2 linked regions of the Anolis sagrei genome follow. The protein of the gene in region 2 interacts with the protein of the main gene of each other region in a pairwise test. Links are inferred from orthologs where the notes say so. Each region holds a gene or a part of one and is shown on either strand. Other genes may lie near its edges. The genes, in order: TRA2B and YTHDC1.

Evidence for each region.
Region 1: the proteins of YTHDC1 (region 2) and TRA2B interact in binary tests that used the Homo sapiens proteins (3 or more experiments, as listed by UniProt). The link is inferred for Anolis sagrei from reciprocal best matches to the Homo sapiens genes YTHDC1 and TRA2B.

What each region holds. Positions count from the first base shown.
Region 1 is NC_090023.1:222,897,492-222,908,349, reverse strand, and holds the start of TRA2B (transformer-2 protein homolog beta), read left to right. Parts: upstream 1-6,407; 5' UTR 6,408-6,521; coding exon 6,522-6,557; intron 6,558-10,858. UniProt on the Homo sapiens protein: Sequence-specific RNA-binding protein which participates in the control of pre-mRNA splicing. Can either activate or suppress exon inclusion. Acts additively with RBMX to promote exon 7 inclusion of the survival motor neuron SMN2.
Region 2 is NC_090026.1:55,921,312-55,932,207, reverse strand, and holds the start of YTHDC1 (YTH domain-containing protein 1), read left to right. Parts: upstream 1-6,097; 5' UTR 6,098-6,332; coding exon 6,333-6,360; intron 6,361-10,896. UniProt on the Homo sapiens protein: Regulator of alternative splicing that specifically recognizes and binds N6-methyladenosine (m6A)-containing RNAs.

The sequences.
Region 1 (10,858 bases), on a different chromosome or scaffold from region 2:
TTGATTGTAGGTGAACCTTAAATACCAGCAACAACAACTCCCAAATGTCAAGATCTATTTTTCCCCAAACTTCACCAGTGTTTGCATTTGGGCATATTAAGTATTTGTGCCAAGTTTGGTCCAGATCCATGATTGTTTGAGTCCACAGTGCTCTCTGGATGTAGGTGAACTCCACTCCAAAACTCCAGGTCAATACCCACCAAACCCTTCCAGTATTTTCTGTTGGTCATGGGAATTCTGTGTGCCAAGTTTGGTTCAATTCCATCATTCAGAATGCTATTTGATTATAGGTTAACTATAAATCCCAGCAACTACAACTCCCAAATGACAAAATCAACCCCTCGCCCTCAATCCCACCAGTATTCAAATTTGGACGTTATCAGGTATTTGTGCCAAATTTGGTCCAGTGAATGAAAATACATCCTGCAGATCAGATATTTACATTATGATTCATAAAAGTAGCAAAATTACAGTTATGAAGCAGCAATGAAAATAATTTTATGGTTGGGTGACAACGCAACATGAGGAACTGTATTAAGGGGTCGTGGCATTAGGAAGGTTGAGAACCACTGCCCTAAAGGCATCAGATCCCATATGATTTTTAAAACCAAGAAGGGTCAGCAGTACTTAGATAAGGGATCACCAATAAAAACTAGGGGCTGTAGGCTATATTTCAGAGGAAGAAATTAGCAAATGACTCCTTCATATTCCTTGCCTAAGAAGACCATATGCATGGAGTCACTACAAATTGAAAGGCAACTTAAATGCCCATTGGCTGTCAAGTCGCTCAAGTTGCTCCTGAAATGAAAAAAAATGTATATTTTACCCATGTTTTTTAAACACTACAAATTGTTTAAAAGCCTAACACACTTCTCTTTTAAATCATTGTAAGTTGCCTTGTGCCTTAGGTCTAGAGAAAGAGTATTACTTTAGCCATGTTATCTTAATTTATAATCCAAGTTTGAGTCCCATTTTGTGAGAATGTCAGGATACAAAACAAATGAAAAAACAAGACTGCAAGCTGACCTGCAGTTTGGTATATTACCATCATTATTATTAATCACTTTTCCCATAGTTCAATCTTATTATTGTTGTTAGTAGTAGTAGTAGTAGTAGTAGTAGTAGTGTTGCTGTTGTTGCTGTTGTGATTATCTACTATTGTTGTTATTGTTACTTATATCCGTCTTTTCTCTCAGGACCTAGACCCAAAGATGCTCACAACCTTAAAAATGCTAATTTAAAAATCTATTAAACACAAATATTAAAACAAAAGGAAATGTTGGAATATGCACAAAGAGTATGACATTAAGAGGTTGCAAACTGGCATCAGCCCCTAAAGCAAATATTTATTAGTTTTTTCTGTAATTTAAGAGATTTGCATTGATTTTAATGATTTAATTATTTATTTTTTAATATTCCTGATATTGAGAAATTGGACCCTCAAATTATGAAATATATAACATAATATGAAATGGAAACTGCAGCTCCACAAAACCCATTAATCATTGTTGTAAACTGTCTCTAGAATGTCGTCTGGTCACACCCAAATCCCCTGCCTTTAATTTCTATAATCGTTTCACAATGGATTGGGAGATAAGGTGGGGGGTGAATTACTCAACTATGTACATAGTGGTAATTGGGGATTTCAATTACTTTGATATTTGTTGGAAAACAAACTTTGCCAAGAAAAAGTTCAGCAAATTCCTCACTTGCCTTTCTGACAATTTTATTGTTCAGAAGGTAGAAGAGGCAATAAGGGGATCAGCTATTCTGGATCCGATCCTAAACAACACTGAGGATCTGGTCAATGGAGTTGAAGTGGTGGGATCCTTAGGTGGGAGTGACCATGTGCCCCTGGAGTTTGTGATATAATGATATAAAACTAAGAGAAGTCAACCACGCATTCAAGAACTTTCGGTTGTTTTTACAAAATTCACAACATTAAAGGAAATACTGAGCCTGATTCCTTGGACAGAAACACTAAAAAAAAAGAAGGGAGTTAATAATGGATGGGAGTTTCTTAAAAATACTTACTTAGGCGATCCCTCATAGCCCAAGGATGATGGTCGTCCATGTGTAGTATCGTGGCGGTAGATCCGTAGGTGGCTGTGGAGCCCTATTGTTGATCGATATATTCTCCCACAGTGAGGACATTGGTTTTCAGGTGGAAGGTGGTCCCAGTCAGGGATGGCTTGACACGCCTTCCTCTTGGCATGTTTCTCCCTTTCGCCCTCCACTCATGCCTCTTCGAATTCTGCAGCACTGCTGGTCACAGCTGAACTTCAGTTAGAGCACTCAAGGGCCAGGGCTTCCCAATTCTCGATATCTATGCCACAGTTTTTAAGGCTGGCTTTAAGCCCATCTTTAAATCTCTTTTCCTGTCCACCAACATTATGTTTCCTGTTCTTGAGTTGGGGATATAGTAACTGCTTTGGGAGACGACATTCAGGCAAACATGGCCAGTCCAGCGGAGTTGATGACATAGGAGCATTGCTTCAATGCTGGTGGTCTTTGCTTCTTCCAGCACATTTACATTTTTCTGCCTGTCTTCCCAGGAGATTTGGAGGATTTTTCAGAGTCAATGCTGATGGAATTGTTCCAGGAGTTGAGTGTGACGTCTGTAGACAGTCCACGTTTTGCAGGCATATAGCAGGGTTGGGAAGACAATAGCTTTATAAACAAGCACCTTGATCTCCCAATTCTCAAACACTCTCTGCTTCATTAGAAAAAATGCTGCACTTGCAGAGCTCAGGCGGTATTGTAATTCAGTGTCAATGTTGACTTTTGTGGAGAGGTGGCTGCCAAGGTAGCGGAAATTGTCAACATTTTATAATGTTACACCATTAAGCTGTATTTCTGGCATTGCAGAGGTATTGGCTGGTGAATGCTGGAAGAGCACTCCAGTTTTCTTAATGTTCAATGAGAGGCCGAACTTCTCGTATGCTTTGGCAAAGGTGTTTAGAGTGGCTTGTAGGTCTTCTTCTGAATGTGCACAGACTACACGAAATTTAAGGAAATACTGAGTGTGATTCCATGGACAAGAATACTAAAAGATAAGGGAGTCAGTGACGAGTGAGAGTTTCTTAAAAGTGAGATACTGAAAGCACAATTGTAAACAGTGCCAGCAAGAAGAAGAAAAAAAGGAGAAATGTAAAACAACCAGAATGGGTGTCCAAACAACTTTTAACAAAGCTAAGATTTAAAAGAGACATGCACAAAAAATGGAAAAAGGAGGAAATCACCAAAGAGGAATTCAAATAACCAACATATGTAGAGAAATGTTTTGTGAAGTTAAGGCGTAAAATGAGCTCAGGCTTGCCAGAGAGATTAAAAACAATTTAAAAGGGTTCTTTGGTGGGTCCTCTGCATGGAGAAAGTGGTGAAATGCTAACAGGGGATAGGGAAAAGGCAGAACTGCTCAACACCTTCTTTGCCTCGGTCTTCTCCCAAAAAGAGATTGGTGTTCAATCTGAGCAATATGGAGCGGACGAGGTAATAGAGGAAATGCAACCCAAAATAGGTAAATAAGTAGTCCAGGAATACCTGGCTACTCTAAACGAATTCAAGTCTCTAGGGCCAGTTGAACTACATCCAAGAGTTTTGAAGGAACTAGCAGAAGTCATTTCAAAACAACTGGAAATAATCTTTGAGAATGCTTGGAGAACAGGAGAAGTCCAAGCAGATAGGAGGAGGGCAGATCCCTATCTTCAAGATGGGAAAAAAGAGGATCCAAACAGTTACCATCTAGTCAACCTGACATTAATACTAGGAAAGATCCTGAAATAGATCATGAAGGAGATAGTCTGCAATCACTTAGAAAAGAATGCTGTGATTACTAGCTAACATGGATTTGTCAAAAACAAGTCATGCCAGACACATCTTATCTCTTTTTTCAATATAGTTACAAGCTTAGTAGATGCAGGAAATGCTGTGGATGCCACATATTTTGATTTCAGTAAGGACTTCAACGAAGTCCTCCTTGACCTTCTTGAAAACCTCTTTTCTTGAGTTTATCGCCTTGTGAGTTCCTTGGTTTGACATTCCAGGCCTTCAACTGTTTCGTTTTGCATCTCAAAAGAAGGTGATGGGTGTTTTATGGCTCTGTTTTCTCTTCTTTCAACTGGTATTTATTATGTGTTTCACTTAAGGCTGAATTCCTTCTAATGCTAAAGACTAAGTCTAGTTATTTAATCAAACCTATTCTACATGTTCTTGCTATTGTTCAATAATCAAATGCAATCAGGCTCTTTGTTCCCTTCAATATGGTAATGTAGATCAAGCCTTTGTCTCTCATATGTCCAAGGCCTTAGTCCTTCCAGAGAGATGGCAAGCTATTTAACCTCAGCAGGCTAAAAACCAGAACCAAGGTTACAACAACTTACTTACTTACAGTATTTATATTTCGCCCTTCTCACCCGACAGGGGACTCAGGGCGGATTACAATGTGCACATATATGGCAAACATTCAATGCCAATTTGACATACAGTGTATACAGACATACACAGAGGCTATTTAACTTTTTCTGGCCGCCAGGGGAGCTGTCGCTTTCATCGTCCATCTGCGACACTGATGAAATACTTCCGCATTCTCTGCATGCTTTTTCTGGAGTGCTTTGCTGGAGTCTTTTTTTATGGCCTCATAAATTAGTTAATTTGATGCTCCCCCACAATCAACTCCGCTGGACTGGCCACGTTGTCTGGATGTCCAACCACCGTCTCCAAAAGCAGTTGCTGTACTCCGAACTCAAGAACGGAAAACGGAATGTTGGTGAGCAGGAAAAGAGATTTAAAGATGGGCTCAAAGCCAACCTTTAAAACTCTGGCATAGACACTGAGAACTGGGAAGCCCTGGCCCTTGAGCGCTCCAGCTGGAGGTCAGCTGTAACCAGCAGTGCTGTAGAATTTGAAGAGGCACGAATGGAGGGCGAAAGAGAGAAATGTGGCAAGAGACTGCCTTACACCTGGAAACCAGTGCCCTCACTGCGGGAGAAGATGCAGATCAAGAATAGGGCTCTACAGCCACCTACAGACCCACCAGTACACTGACCTTGGAAGACTATCCTACTCTGACGAGGGATCGCCTAAATAAGGTAGTGTTGATCAAGTCTTTGTCTCTCATATGTCCAAGGCCTTAATCCAGGGGTCCTCAAACTTTTTAAACAGAGGGCGAGGTCACAGTCCCTCAAACTGTTGGAGGGCTGGATTATAATTTGAAAAAAACACAAATGAATTCCTATGCACACTGCACATATCTTATTTGTAATGCAAAAAACCCACTTAAAAACAATACAATAATTAAAATGAAGAACAATTTTAACCAATATAAACTTATTATCATTTCAATGGGAAGTGTGGGCCTGCTTTTGGCTGATGAAATAGGATTGTTGTTGTTATTGTATGCTTTCAAGTCGTTCCAAACTTACAACAGCAAAACAACAGAGAGGAAACAATCTGGGACATCTAATTACCTCTCAACAAAAGGCTGCTCCAGGCACTGCCAGGCAGGGCCGTAGCCATAAAAAAATTCGGGGAGGGTTGAAAAATTTTGGGGAGAAGGGAGTTTTGAAAATTTCAGGGGGGGGGGGGCTTGAAAATTTCGGGGGGGGGGCTTGAAAATTTCAGGGGGGGGGCTTGAAAATTTCGGGGGGGGGCTTGAAAATTTCGGGGGGGGGGAGTTGAAACCTGCCTCTTAGTTCACGCTGAAGCAGGGGGCAGAGCAGCCTTCAATAGCTTGCAGCTCCGCCCCTGTCAACCACCTCCACCAAGTCTGGCCTCCTTAATGAGAGCATTCAACACACACACACCCAACTTGGTTGCTTCGCTACATTGGCTATTGCTGCAAGTAATGACAGTCTGAATAAATTGTAAATATTTGCTTGAGATAGTGCTTGCAATTCTGGATGGACTCTTAATTTTTTGCGTCTCATAGATTTAGCATGGGGATTTGGTTAACCAGTTAAAATTCATGAGTAAACCAGGGGAGAAAATTTTCGGGGGGGGGGGGTTGAACCCCTAACCCCCCCCCCCCTCGCTACAGGCCTGCTGCCAGGCTATCAAATGCTAATCAAGGTGATCAGTTAAAACATTCACACCTAGCTCCAGCAGACAAGAGTCCTTTGTCCCACCCTGGTCATTCCAGAGATATATAAACCCTTTTTCCCCAGTTCTAACAGACCTCACAACCTCTGAGGATGCTTGCCACAGATGCAGGCGAAACGTCAGGAGAGAATGCCTCTAGAACATGGCCCTATAGCCCGAAAAAAAACCTACAACAACTCATTGATTCCGGCCATGAAAACCTTCGACAATACAATAAAGCGTTTCTGGAGGCTTCGAAGGGCAGCACGTGCCTCTCTCCAGCGCGAGGCGGTGGGGGGGGGGAGCTGTGACGTCACGTTCGCGGGCAAGGGGGCGGGGTCTGCTCCGGCTGCGTCACTTCCTCTGCGGAGAAGGCTGCCTGGCGAAGGGACGGTTCGGTGCTAGCAACCGCGGTCGGCGTCCCGAGCTCTGAGGCGGGAGACATGAGTGACAGCGGGGAACAGAACTACGGCGAGCGGGTAATACGGAGGCGCCAAGCGGAGGGGAAAAAACAAAACACAAGCAAAATAGGCCGTTAGATAGATATATATATTTATTTAAAATACCCCCTTTTTGGGGGGTTTTGTTTTCTGAAAGGGAAGATGGATACAAGAGGGAAAGGGCCAAAGATGGAGGTCTGGGGGGGGGCGTGTTTGGACGTCCAGAGGGAGTCGGGTGGGTTTGGCGCGCGAGGGGGGGGAGAAAAAGCCCGCCGTTTGGTTCTGACGTGGAGTTCTCTCTGCGGTGAGATCCTCGGCCGGCGCCATCTTGGGCTAGTGACCCGAAGCAGCGCGCGCCGCCTCCTCCTCCTCCTCCTTTGCTGCTGCTGTTGCCGCCGCGGGGACAAAATGGCCGCCCTGGTCTCGCCTCGCGGGAGAAAGAGAAAGCAGGCGCCTTCCTCGCGCTCCCCCCCTTTCCTATACGTGTAACCCAGGACCAACGTTTTAGGAAGGCAGAGGTCGCTCTCGGCGGCCTCGCCTTTCAATTTCGAATTATTAGAACCAGTATTGGTTTCTCTCACCACTCTGAGAGAAGGAAGAGTGGCTCCTGCGTGGCTTGGCAGAAGCCAGGCAGTAATCCTAGAGTTGGAAGAGACCTCATGGGCCATCCAGTCCAACCCCCCTGCCAAGAAGCAGGAATATTGCATTCAAAGCACCACAGAATCATAAAATCCTAGAGTTGGAAGAGACTTCATGGGCCATCCAGTCCAACCCCCTGCCAAGAAGCAGGAATATTGCATTCAAAGCACCGCCGACAGATGGCCATCCAGCCTCTGTTTAAAGACCTCCAAAGAAGGAGCCTCCACCGCACTCCGGGGCAGAGAGTTCCACTATTGAACAGCTCTCAAAGTCAGGAACTTCTTCCTCATGTTCAGATTGAATCTCGGTTAACACTTAGTGCTGTGCAGTCCTGGGATTTGTAGTTTACAGAGGCACTAGCTCTCTTAGGCCCCTTCCACACAGATGAATAAAACCCCACATTATCTGCTTTGAACTGGAATATATTGCAGTGTGGACTCGGATAACCTAGGGCAGTGGTTCTCAACCTGGGGTCCCCTGATGTTTTTTAACTCCCAGCTGGTAAACTGGCTGGGATTTCTGGGAGTTGTAGGCCAAAAACATCTGGGGACCCCAGGTTGAGAACCACTGCCCTAGGGGCTCTTCCACACAGCCATATATCCCAAAATATCAAGGCAAAAAATCCCACATGATCTGCTTTGAACTGGGGGCCCTTCCACACAGCCTTATATCCCAAAATATTAGGGGCAGAAAATACCACATCTGCTTTGAACTGGATTATCTGAATCCACACTCAGATAATGTGGGATTTTCTGCCTTGATGTTTTTGGGATACAGAGCTGTGTGTAAGGGCCCCCAGTTCAAAGCAGATATTGTGGGATTTTCTGCCTTGATATTTTGGGATATAGAGCTGTGTAGAAAGGCCCCCAGTGATTCTTGTTTGTGGGATGTGTGTGTGGCCCAGGCCCCTTCCACACAGATGTATAAAATCCACATTGAGCTGGATTATATGGCAGTGTGGACTCGGATAATCCAGTTCAAAGCAGATGTTGTAGGGGTTTCTGCCCTTATATTCTAGGATATAGGGCTGTGTGGAAGGGCCCTAAGGCAAAAGACCTTGTAAAATTACTATTCTGATGCAGATTTCCGCCGCTTCAGTGGTTATGGCTCAATCATGGGGCTTGTTGTTTGGAGAAGCACCAGCTCTCTTAGGACCCTTCTACACAACTATATAACCCAGAATATCTGCTTTGAACTGGATTATCCGAGTCCACACTGCCATATATACCAGTTCAAAGCAGATAATGTGGGATTTTATTCAGCTGTGTGGAAGGGACCTTAGATAGAGTATGCTGAACACATTGTAAAACAGGCATGGAAAAAATTTGGCCCTCTGGGTGTTTGGACTGCAACTCCCACAATTCCTAACAGTTGTTAGGCTGTTAGGAATTGTGGGAGTTATAGTTCAAAACACCTGGAGGACCAAAATATGAATAACGAAACCACAACATGATCAAGAATCTCTAAGCAGTTTTTTTTACTAGTGTTGCAGTTTCCATATATTATATCACACCATCCCATTTTATAGGGTTACATCATGTGCATGCTCATGTGAGTGATTTATATAAGTTCTGGACTGGGTCAGTTTTCTTTGACGTTTAATAAGCTTTTCTATAATCCCTCCTTATTATCCAACTTTTTCGCTTATTCAGCGTTCTGTCAGCCCATTTATGTTGGATAAGCGAGACTCTACTGCAGGGGTCCACAAACTTTTTAAACAGAGCCAGGTCACAGTCTCTCAAACTGCTGGAGGACTGGATTACAATTTGAAGAAAAAAAATTAATAAATTCCTATGCACACTGCACATATTTTATTTGTAGTGCAAATAACACTTCAATACAAAAATTGAAATGAAGAACAATTTTAACAAATATAAACTTAATAGTATTTCAGTGGGAAGTGTGGGCCTCCTTTTGGCTGATGAGATAGGATTGTTGTGTGCTTTCAAGTCGTTTCAGACTTAGGTTGACCCTGAGTGAGGACTGGATAAATGACCTTGGAGGGCCGCATCTGGCCCTCGAGCCTTAGTTTGAGGACCCCTGCTCTACTGTATTCTGAAATCCAAAGCATTTGGTCACAATCATTTGGGGCAAGAGATACTCAACCTTCATATTCTTTGGCAAACCTAATCTGGGTTCTAAACCTCTGGATTTTGAGTGAAGGAGGAAGTTAGACTTAACCTATATTTTTAAAAACATGCTTGACAGTATCTTGGGAACTTGTATTGTAAGCTGTATTAAAAGATGGTACCTTAAATACCAAATTTCAAGCAAGTAGCAAAAATGTTTAAGGAAGAAATATGCTAGTAAATTGGAATAAAAAACTCAATACAATAACTTTGGATTTTTAATGTTTCAACTTTTATTGTGTAACCTACATTGTGGAGGCTATCCTTTAAGCAAAGACATTGTGAAGGCTATCCTTTAAGCAAAGAGGGCTATATTTCCTATACTAAAATTGAGACATACAATAGAGGCTTAGAACCACCTTGATAGTTTGAATTAAGGCCACATTATGAAGTTGTCTTCCTGGTTGGAGGAATAGACAGGAGAATATGTGGGTGACTTTATTTTATTGTGCACTGATGTTTTAATTTAACTGTTGAATTGTTTTGTATTTTATATTGTTGTTGATTGATTTAGGCATCTAATTATGCCTCCTATGTAAGCCGCCCTGAGTCCCCCCCCCCCCCCGGGGTGAGAAGGGCGGGGTATAAGTAATTGAAATAAATAAATAAATAAAAATTTGCTTCAGCAAGAAAACACATGAAAAATAAAGTGGCAGAGTATGTTCTAGACTAGCTCCTTTTCTCTGTTAATCTTAAACAAAGGAGCATAGTTATTTACCTGTAAAGGACAATACAGTTCAATAGTTGTATAAAATTGAGAGCTAATTGAGAAGCGGCAGTAATCTGCATAGGAATAGTAGTTTTACAAGGTCCTTTGCCTTAGAGCCCATTGAGAAGTGAAATTGCAGAAAGATTAGAAAATAAATACTATAGCTTGGTGTCCAATTTTAAATTAACTTTAAACATTTATTCTAGGCTGCATTTTATTGATTTAAAGTAGTTTATATTATTTTACTGTTACACTGCTATTGTTACTTTAAATTTTGGATTTTAATGTTTTTAATTTTATTGTGTAACCTACATTGTGGAGGCTGCCCTTCAAAGCAAAGCAATATTGAAAAAAACAAACAAAAGTAGACATATTGGATAGCTTCATTGTGGTTGGTGAACATGAGTATGGCAGCTCCTTGCCTGTTTGTCTTTTACTTGCATGTGCATCTCCTGTTTAGATGAACTAGATTTGGAGGAATACCAAGCTGAAATCAGGTATCTTTCAAATCTAGTGATTGATACTGATTCAGCACTGGATATTAGGGATTCATAAAATACTTGTGTATCTGGATATTGCAGATGTTGCAGATACGCTCCTGGGGCCTTTCCACACAGCCATATATATCAAGGCAGAAAATGCCATAATATTAATAATAATAACTTTATTTTTATACCCAGCCACCATCTCCCTGAAGGGACTCGGAGCTGCTTACAAGTGGGACCATGCCCAGGACATAAAACAAAATGCAGTTAGAGACATAATAACATGCAACGGTCCAGTTATAACAATTAAAAACAACAAAGTATAAAAAAGCATTTAAAACCATTTCAAACCAACTGAGTAACCAGGAATATGATAAG
Region 2 (10,896 bases):
CTGAAAGAGCTGGTTCTTTTAGGTCACATCCCTTAATTACTTTAGGTTGGATCATGAAGCGTATGTGATCCAAGTTTGATTCAGATTCATCAATAATAATAATAATAATAATAATAATAATAATAATAAACCTTTATTTGTACCCCGCTACCATCTCCCGCAGGACTCGGTGTGGCTTAAAAGAGGCCGAGCCCAAAATACATCAAAAACGAGAAACACAACAACAACAATACAATACAACAATAAATAACTCATAGCAAAGCAAAACAATAACAAAAATCACGGCGCATTTAAAAACCAGTGGCAGGGCCAAATGTAATGATTAATTTTTTTTAAATGCTGGGCATGTCCAGGTGAAATAGGATGGATATTTTGGGGATAAGAGGGTGTGCAGACTTCTAATTCTCTCATAAAGTGCATTTGGGACATATTGCTTGGGATTGCTTAATCTGGGAAGGCACACTGGAACATCCATGTTTTCAAGCTCCTTCTGAAGACTGCCAATGTTGGGGAATGCCTGATGTCCTTGGGGAGGGAGTTCCAGAGTTGTGGGGCCACCACAGAGAAGGCCCTGTCCCTCGTTCCCACCAATCGCGCTTGCGATGCCAGTGGGATCGTGAGCAGGGCCTCTCCAGATGAACGAAGAGATCGTGTGGGTTCGTATACGGAAATGTGGTCACGCAGGTAGGTGGGTCCCAAACCATTTAGGGCTTTGTAGGTAAGCACCTGCATCTTGAATTGGGCCCGGAATATGAACGGCAGCCAATGGAGCTCCTTAAACAGGGGGTTGACCTCTCCCTGTAAGGAGCACCAGTTAACAACCCGGCCGCCGCCCATTGAACCAACTGAAATTTCCAGGCTGTTTTCAAGGGCAGCCCCACGTAGAGTGCATTACAGTAGTCCAATCTGGAGGTGACTAAGGCATGGACCACCCTTAAAGCCCTAAACGGTTCCGGCCCAAGATACCTTTCCGACCGCATCTCGGCCTATGAACCCATCAGGACTTTGAGATCTTCCGGGGAGGCCCTGCTCTCGATCCCGCTGGCTTCTCAAGCACGGTTGGCAGGGACGAGAGATAGGGCCTTCTCGGTGGTGGCTCCTCGGCTGTGGAACGCCCTTCCTACAGACATTAGGCTGGCGCCATCTCTCATGACATTCCGAAGAAAGTTGAAGACCTGGATGTTTGTGCAGGCGTTTGAGTAATTTAGTGCAATCTGGTCATGGAACATAGGAATGGAACAATGGACGACGAACCTGGACTACGCTTGGATGATGAGAAGATTGGGAATGGTTGTTTTTTGTAATAATTGTGCATTGTAATTGCTTATTGGTAATTTATGGATAATGTGTTGTTATATATGGAACCACTGCTGTTTCTACTGTTTTAACTGTTTGTGAACCGCTGCGAGTCGCCTTCGGGCTTGAGATATAGCGGTATATAAGCAAAGTAAATAAATAAATAAATAAATAAATAAATGGACCACCCTGGCCAGATCCGCTTTCACAAGGTACAGTCGCAGTTGGCGCACGAGTCTCAATTGTGCAAAGGTCCTCCTGGCCACCGCCGACGCCTGAGCTTCAAGCATAAGTGATGATCAAGCCACCAAACCCTTCCAAAGTGTTCTGTTGGTCATGGAAGTCATGTATGCCATGTTTGGTTGAATTCCATCATTGGTGGAGTTCAGAATGCTCTTTCATTGTAGGTGAACTATAAATCCCAGCAACTACAACTCCCAAATGTCAAGGTCTATTTCCCTTAAACTCCATCTGTGTTCATATTTGGGCATATGGAATATTCGTGCCAAGTTTGGTCCAGATCCAACATTGTTTGAGTCCACAGTGCTCTCTGGATGTGGGTCAACTATAATTCCCAAACTCAATGTCAATGCCCACCTAACCCTTCCAGTGTTTTCTGTTAGTCATGGGGGTCCTGTATGCTACGTTTGGTTCAGTTCCATCATTGGTGGAGTTCAGAATATTCTTTGATTGTAGGGGAACTATAAATCCAAGCAACTATAACTCCTAAATGACAAAATCAAAAAAATTTGAGTGAAGGACATACATTGGGTTGTTAGGTGTCTTGTGTCCAAATTTGGTGTCAATTCGTCCAGTGGTTTTTGAGTTCTGTTAATCCCACAAACGAACATTACATTAGGTTCTTGTGGGTTTTTTCGGGCTATAGAGCCATGTTCTAGAGGCATTTCTCCTGACGTTTCGCCTGCATCTATGGCAAGCATCCTCAGAGGTAGTGAGGTCTGTTGGAATTAGGACAATGGGTTTATATCTCTGTGGAATGGCTGGGGTGGGGCAAGGAGCTCTTCCCTGCTGCAGTTAGGTGTGAATGTTTCAGCTGATCACCTTCATTAGCATTTGAAGGCCTGCCTGAGCCTGGGAAAATCTCTTGCTGGGAGGTGTTAATTTGTGCCTGGTTGTTTCCTCTCTGTTGTTTTGCTGTTGTAATTTTAGAGTTTTTTAATACTGGTAGCCAGATTTTGTTCATTTTCATGGTCTCTTCCTTTCTGTTGAAATTGTCCACATGCTTGTGGATTTCAATGGCTTCTCTGTGTAGTCTGACATGGTGGTTGTTGGTGTGGTCCAGCATTTCTGTGTTCTTAAATAATATGCTGTGTCCAGGCTGGTTCATCAGGTGCTCTGCTATGGCTGACTTCTCTGGTTGAAGTAGTCTGCAGTGCCTTTCATGTTCCTTGATGCATGTCTGGGCGCTGCGTTTGGTGGTCCCTATGTAGACTTGTCCACAGCTGCATGGTACACGGTAGACTCCTGCAGAGGTGAGAGGATCCCTCTTGTCCTTTGCTGAACGTAGCATTTGTTGGATTTTCTTGGTGAGTTTGTAGATGGTTTGTATGTTGTGTTTCCTCATCAGCTTCCCTATGTGGTCAGTGGTTCCCTTGATGTATGGCAGGAACACTTTTCATAGAATCATAGAATCATAGAATCAAAGATTTGGAAGAGACCTCATGGGCCATCCAGTCCAACCCCCTGCCAAGAAGCAGGAATATTGCATTCAAATCACCCCTGACAAATGGCCATCCAGCCTCTGTTTAAAAGCTTCCAAAGAAGGAGCCTCCACCACACTCCGGGGCAGAGAGTTCCACTGCTGAACGGCTCTCACAGTCAGGAAGTTCTTCCTAATGTTCAGATGGAATCTCCTCTCTTGTAGTTTGAAGCCATTGTTCCGCGTCCTAGTCTCCAAGGAAGCAGAAAACAAGCTTGCTCCCTCCTCCCTGTGGCTTCCTCTCACATATTTATACATGGCTATCATATCTCCTCTCAGCCTTCTCTTCTTCAGGCTAAACATGCCCAGTTCCCTAAGCCGCTCCTCATAGGGCTTGTTCTCCAGACCCTTGATCATTTTAGTCGCCCTCCTCTGGACACATTCCAGCTTGTCAATATCTCTCTTGAATTGTGGAGCCCAGAATTGGACACAATATTCCAGGTGTGGTCTAACCAAAGCAGAATAGAGGGGTAGCATTACTTCCTTAGATCTAGACACTATGCTCCTATTGATGCAGGCCAAAATCCCATTGGCTTTTTTTGCCGCCACGTCACATTGTTGGCTCATGTTTAACTTGTTGTCCACGAGGACTCCAAGATCTTTTTCACACGTACTGCTCTCGAGCCAGGCATCACCCATTCTGTATCTTTGCATTTCGTTTTTTCTGCCAAAGTGGAGTATCTTGCATTTGTCGCTGTTGAACTTCATTTTGTTAGTTTTGGCCCATCTCTCTAATCTGTCAAGATCGTTTTGAATTCTGCTCCTGTCCTCTGGACTATTGGCTATCCCTCCCAATTTGGTGTCGTCTGCAAACTTGATGATCATGCCTTCTAGCCCTTCATCTAAGTCATTAATAAAGATGTTGAACAGGACCGGGCCCAGGACGGAACCCTGCGGCACTCCACTTGTCACTTCTTTCCAAGATGAAGAGGAAGCATTAGTGAGCACTCTCTGTGTTTGTCCACTTAACCAATTACAGATCCACCTCACCGTAGTTTTGCCTAGCCCACATTGGACAAGTTTCCTTGCCAGAAGGTCATGGGGGACCTTGTCGAAGGCCTTACTGAAATCCAGGTACGCTACATCCACGGCATTCCCTGCATCTACCCAGCTTGTAGCTCTATCGAAGAAAGAGATCAGATTAGTCTGACATGACTTGTTTTTGATAAATCCATGTTGACTATTAGCGATGACTGCATTTGTTTCTAAGTGTTTGCAGACCACTTCCTTAACAATCTTTTCCAGAATCTTGCCCGGTATCGACGTGAGGCTGACCGGACGGTAGTTGTTTGGGTCATCCTCTGGGTGGATCTTCATCTTTACTCTCGTGGCTTGTTCTTGGTCTTGCAGCTCTTCTGATGTCTGAGGTGGAGTATCCATTGGCCTGGAGAGCCCAGTTGAGGTGGTTCAGTTCATCTTGGAGGAGGTGGGGTTCGCAGATTCTTTTTGCACGGTCTGCCAAGGCTTTAATGGTGCTTCTTTTTTGACTTGGGTGATGGTTGGAGTTTTTATGTAGATATCTATCTGTGTGTGTGGGTTTTCTGTAGACGGTGTGACCCAATTGTTGATCTGGTTTGCGGATGACTAGGACATCTAGAAAAGGCAGTCTTCCTTCATTTTCTTTTTCCATTGTGAATTGGATTTTTGTTAAGATGGTCCAGGAAACTGTTGAGTTGTGTATGCCATGTTTGGTTGAATTCCATCGTTAGTGGAGTTCAGAATACTCTTTGATTGTAAGTGAACTATAAATCCCAGCAACTACAACTCCCAAATGTCAAGGTCTATTTCCTCCAAACTCCATCTGTGTTCATATTTGGGTATATGGAATATCCGTGCCAAGTTTGGTCCAGATCCATCATTGTTTGAGTCCACAGTGCTCTCTGGATGTGGGTGAACTATAATTCCCAAACTCAATGTCAATGCCCACCAGTTTTTTCTGTTGGTCAGGGGAGCTCTGTGTGCTAAGTTTGGCCCAATTCCATCATTGGTGGAGTTCAGAATGCTCTTTGATTGTAGATGAACTATAAATCCCAGCAACTACAAATCCCAAATGTCAAGGTCTATTTCCTCCAAACTCCATCTGTGTTCATATTTGGGTATATGGAATATTCGTGCCAAGTTTGGTCCAGATCCATCATTGTTTGAGTCCACAGTGCTCTCTGGATGTGGGTGAACTATAATTCCCAAACTCAATGTCAATGCCCACCAAACCCTTCCAGTGTTTTCTGTTGGTCATGGGAGCTCTGTGTGCTAAGTTTGGCCCAATTCCATCATTGGTGGAGTTCAGAATGCTCTTTGATTGTAGGTGAACTATAAATCCCAGCAACTACAACTCCCAAATGACAAAATCAAAAAATTTTGAGTGAAGGACATACATTGGGTTCTTAGGTGTCTTGTGCCCAAATTTGGTGTCAATTCATCCAGTGGTTTTTGAGTTCTGTGAATCCCACAAACGAACATTACATTTTTATTTATATAGATAGAAGATAGATAGATAATGAATATTATGAAATATAATTTAATAATAATGCTGGCTTTTGTATTGGGTGATGATGATGATGATGATGATGATGATTGTTATGTGTGTATGTGCAGCTTTCTTCTCACTTCCACCTCCGGAGAAAGAGGTGTAAAGTAGGCTTGGGCAATCCATGGTTCTAAATGGTTCTAAAGTATTTACAAAACTAAAGTTCTGGTGGTGAAAATTTCAGAACTCTAACAAAACTCTCAAAATTTCATGATAAATGGCAGTTCCTAATTGGTTCTGTCATTAAAATTACCAATAATGAAATAATAATGAAATTTTGAAAGTTTTGTTAGAGTTCTGAAATTTTCACCACCAGAACTTTAGTTTTGTAAGTACTTTAGAACCATTTAGAACCATGGATTGCCCAAGCCTAGTGTAAAGCTCGTCGCAATGAACCAAGACGTTCCCGATGTGAGCAAAGAGATGGAGTGCTCTATAAATATATATATCTCTAGGCTTGACGTCGACAGAGCGAACGGCACTTCGCATGCTATGACGTCAGCGTGCGTGAAAGGCGAGGTGCATTGTGGGAGGCAGGGGATTGTCGCGTAGGGAGTCGGGACGGAAGCGAGGGAGGAGGAGGAGGGGCCTGCGCAGTCTCCATTTTGGTCGACGGTGGGGAGCGGCAGAGGAGCGTCGCTCTGCTTGAGGCTCTCGGGCCGCTTCTTGTCATCGCTTCCTTGCCCTCGTCCACATAAGCGAGCGGCGAGCACGCTCTCTCTCAGGCGCAACAAGACGCCAAGGCGCCGTCTGGACGAGGGAGTCGGCGGCGGCGGTGGTAGCGGAACGATGGCGGCCGAGAGCCGGGAAGAGAAAGGTACCCGAGAGCCGCCTCCCCCTCCTTGGTGAACCTTCTCGCTGCCATAGCAACGGGGCCTGGGTGGGAGGCGGAGGCGGGGGCCTCGCGTAGAAGCGCTGCCTGGGAAGGTCGCGCGCTCGCCCTACTCTACCCCAGGCTCGGGCCTTGGATCCCCTTCTTTCAAGGAAAGGTCGCCTCGCAGGCCTTCCTTGCCTCCCTCCCCCTGTTTCACGAGAATCTTCGGGGAGGAAGGGGGCACTTCAAGCCCCCTCTACACTGCCATACAGAATCCAGATTATCTGCTTTGAGCTGGATTAAAGGCAGTGTAGACCAGTGGTTCTCAACCGTCCTAACGCCGCGACCCCTTAGTACAAGTCCTCATGTTGTAGTGACCCCCAACCATAACGTTATTTTCGTTGATACTTCATAACTGTAATTTTGCTACAGTTGTGAATTGCAATGCAAATATCTGATATGCAGGATATATTTTCAGTCACTGGACCAAATTTGGCACAAATGCCTGATACGCCCAAATTTGAATACTGGTGTGGTTGGGGATGATTTATTTTGTCATTTGGTAATGCTGGAGTTGCTGGGATTTATAGTTCACCTTACATCAAATAGCCTTCTGAACTCCACCAATGATGGAATTGAATCAAACTTGGCACACAGAATTCCCATGACCAAGAGAAAATACTGGGAAGGTGTGGTGGACATTGACCTTGAGTTTTTGGAGTTCATCTATATCCAGAGAACACTGTGGACTCAAGCAATGATGGGTCTGGATCAAACTTGGCACAAATACTCAATATGGCATTTGGGAGTTGTAGTTGTTGGGATTTATAGTTCACCCACAATGAAATAGCATTCTGAACCCCACCAATAATAGAATTGGACCAAACTTCCCACCCTAAACCCCCATGACCAACAGAAAATAATATGTTTTCTGATGGTCTTTGGTGACCCCTCTGACACCCCCTCCCGACCCCCACAGGGATCCCGACCCCCAGGTTGAGAAACACTGGTGTAGACGCATAATCCAGTTCAAAGCGGATATCTGATTTGATAATTTGGATTATATGGCACTGTAGAAGGGGCCTTGGTTTCTCCACTAGCATATAGTAAATGTGTTTTTGATCCTAATTTAAAACAAAAACCAGCACATAGGTGCTTTTTCCAAGTCATCAGATGAGATATGTCTGCATGGTTTGAGGCCTATCATTAAAATATCCAACCTATTTCCCTGGACATGCCCAGCATTTTCAAATTTTAATTCTTACATTTGGCCCTGCCATCGGTTTTTAATTGCACCGTGTCATTATCGTATTGTTTTGCTTTCTTATGAGTTATTTATTGTTGTATTGTTGTTATGTTTTATGATGTATTTGGGCTCGGCCTCTTGTAAGCCGCACTGAGTCCTGTGGGAGATTGTAGCAGGGTATAAATAAAGGTTTATTTGAGCTGGATTAAAGGCAGTGTAGACGCATAATCCAGTTCAAAGCGAATATCTGATTTGATAATCTGGATTATATGGCACTGTAGAAGGGGCCTTGGTTTCTCCACTGGTATATAGTAAATGTGTTTTTGATCCTAATTTAAAACAAAAAATAGAGGTATAAATAAAGGTTTATTATTATTATACAATACATACAATACAGCAATACATGGAGCGAGAGTTGCCAGATGTTCAAGATGGGTTTAAAAAAGGCAGAGGAACGAGAGACCAGATTGCCAATATCCGCTGGATAATGGAGAAAGGCAGGGAGTTTCAGAAAAACATCTACTTCTGCTTCATTGACTATTCTAAAGCCTTTGACTGTGTGGATCATAATAAATTGTGGCAAGTTCTTGGTGGGATGGGCATACCAAGCCACCTTGTCTCTCTCCTGAGGAATCTGTACAAGGACCACGTAGCAACAGTAAGACTGACCACGGAACAACAGACTGGTTCAAGATTGGGAAAGGCGTACGGCAAGGCTGCATACTCTCACCCAACCTTTTAAACTTGTATGCAGAACACATCATGCGATGTGCAGGGCTTGATGAATGCAAAGCTGGGTTGAAAATTGCTGGAAGAAACATTAACAACCTCAGATATGCAGATGACACCACTCTGATGGCCGAAAGCGAGGAGGAGCTGAGGAGCCTTCTAATCAAGGTGAAAGAAGAAAACGCAAAAGCCGGGTTGCAGCTAAACATAAAAAAAACCAAGATTATGGCAACAAGAATGATTGACAACTGGAAAATAGAGGGAGAAAATGTGGAGGGCGTGACAGACTTTGTATTTCTAGGTGCAAAGATTACTGCAGATGCAGACTCTGGCCAGGAAATCAGAGGACGCTTACTTCTTGGGAGGAGAGCAATGTCCAATCTCGATAAAATAGTAAAGAGCAGAGACATCACACTGGCAACAAAGATCCGCCTAGTCAAAGCCATGGTATTCCCGGTAGTAACCTACGGATGTGAGAGCTGGACCTAAGGGAAGGCTGAGCAAAGAAAGATGCTTTTGAGCTGTGGTGTAGGAGGAAAGTGCTGAGAGTGCCTTGGACTGCGAGAAGATCCAACCAGTCCATCCTCCAGGAAATAAAGCCCGACTGCTCACTGGAGGGAAGGATACTAGAGACAAAGTTGAAGTACTTTGGCCACATCATGAGGAGACAGCAAAGCCGACAATTATGCTGAGAAAAGTAGAAGGTAAAAGGAAGAGGGGCCGACCAAGGGCAAGATGGATGGATGGCATCCTTGAAGTGACTGGACTGACCTTGAAGGAGCTGGGGGTGGTTACAGCCGACAGGGAGCTCTGGCGTGGGCTGGTCCATGAGGTCACGAAGAGCCGGAGACGACTGAACGAATGAACAACAAATTATTTATTTATTTATTTCATAGAATCATAGTTGGAAGAGACCTCATGGGCCATCCAGTCCAACCCCCTGCCAAGAAGCAGGTATATTGCATTCAAAGCACCCCTGACAGATGGCCATCCAGCCTCTGTTTAAAAACCTCCAAAGAAGGAGCCTCCACCACACTCCGGGGCAAAGAGTTCCACTGCTGAACGGCTCTTAATCAGGAAGTTCAGATGGAATCTCTTGTAGTTTGAAGCCATTGTTCCGTGTCCTAGTCTCCAAGGAAGCAGAAAACAAGCTTGCTCTCTCCTCCCTGTGACGTCCTCTGACATATTTATACATGGCTATCATATCTCCTCTCAGCCTTCTCTTCTTCAGGCTAAACATGCCCAACTCCTTAAGCCGCTCCTCATAGGGCTTGTTCTCCAGACCTTTGATCATTTTAGTCGCCCTCCTCTGGACACATTCCAGCTTGTCAATATCTTTCTTCAATTGTGGTGCCCAGAATTGGACACAGTATTTCAGGTGTGGTTTAACCAAGGGTAACATTACTTCCCTAGATCTAGACACTATGCTCCTATTGATGCAGGCCAAAATCCCATTGGCTTTTTTTGCCGCCACATCACATTGTTTGTGCTAGATGTGAGCTCTGTGTTACAGCAGTTCAGTAGTTATTTAAATGCTGCATAAAACGTGATGGACAACATTAAAACGTGTAGAAAATATGGGTTGCTCTTCCACTACTGAGTATTTGTGGGCAGAATTAAGAACAAAGCGGGGTAAGAGGAATAATGTATTTAAATAGACTTACTTTACAAGTGTGAGTCGGCCCTGTTATCACACAGCTTGATCCTTGACATAATTATGCATTTATTTTTAGGTTCAGTGCTTGTTTTAAAAATAATTTTAGAAAGCTTTTCAAACCCAAGGAGGGGGGGGGGTCCTTTTTGCATTTCACAGGAACAACGTACTGCAGAGTGGTGACTGCAGTAGTTCTGCCTTCTGTGTGCTGAGGCAAATATTGACAAGGTAGTCTTGCACAGTCAGGTTTATGTAGGAACACCTTATATAGGTGTATCATGATGACTATGAAATGAACTGGAAGATTGTAGCCTGCATTTTCATTTCCATCTTGTCTCCTGGAGATGCCATCAGCTGGAGATGCCTCTCCCCAACACAAACTTGCTCTGGGCCAGAGTGAAGAGAGGGGAGGCCAGGGGACAGTTCCACCTTGTCTCCTGTGCTATTCTAATAATATAATATATTGTATATACATATAATATTTATAGTATTAGATATATAATACTATATTATATATCTAATACTATATATCTAATACTATATAATATTATATATTATATACTAATAATATAATATATTGTATGTAATATATACCTTCTGAGCCGCTCGTGAGTCCCCTTCGGGGTTAGAAGGGCGGCATGTAAATGTCGTAAATAAATACATAAATAAATCTGAACTGCTGAAGATTAGACTATAGGGATAATATTTGAGGATGGAAGGCTTAGATAGTAAATTGTTAGTTCATAGGCAGTTCACCAAAGTATGTTGCTTGTACTTATGAATTTGAAATCTTTTTTTAGACTAATGTATAATTTGAGGTTCTTGTAAAGATGGGAAATAGAAATTTTAAACTGTAACACCCATAAAACATTTTTGTGGGCTTTCTCAATACCTACTTTACATGTGTTAC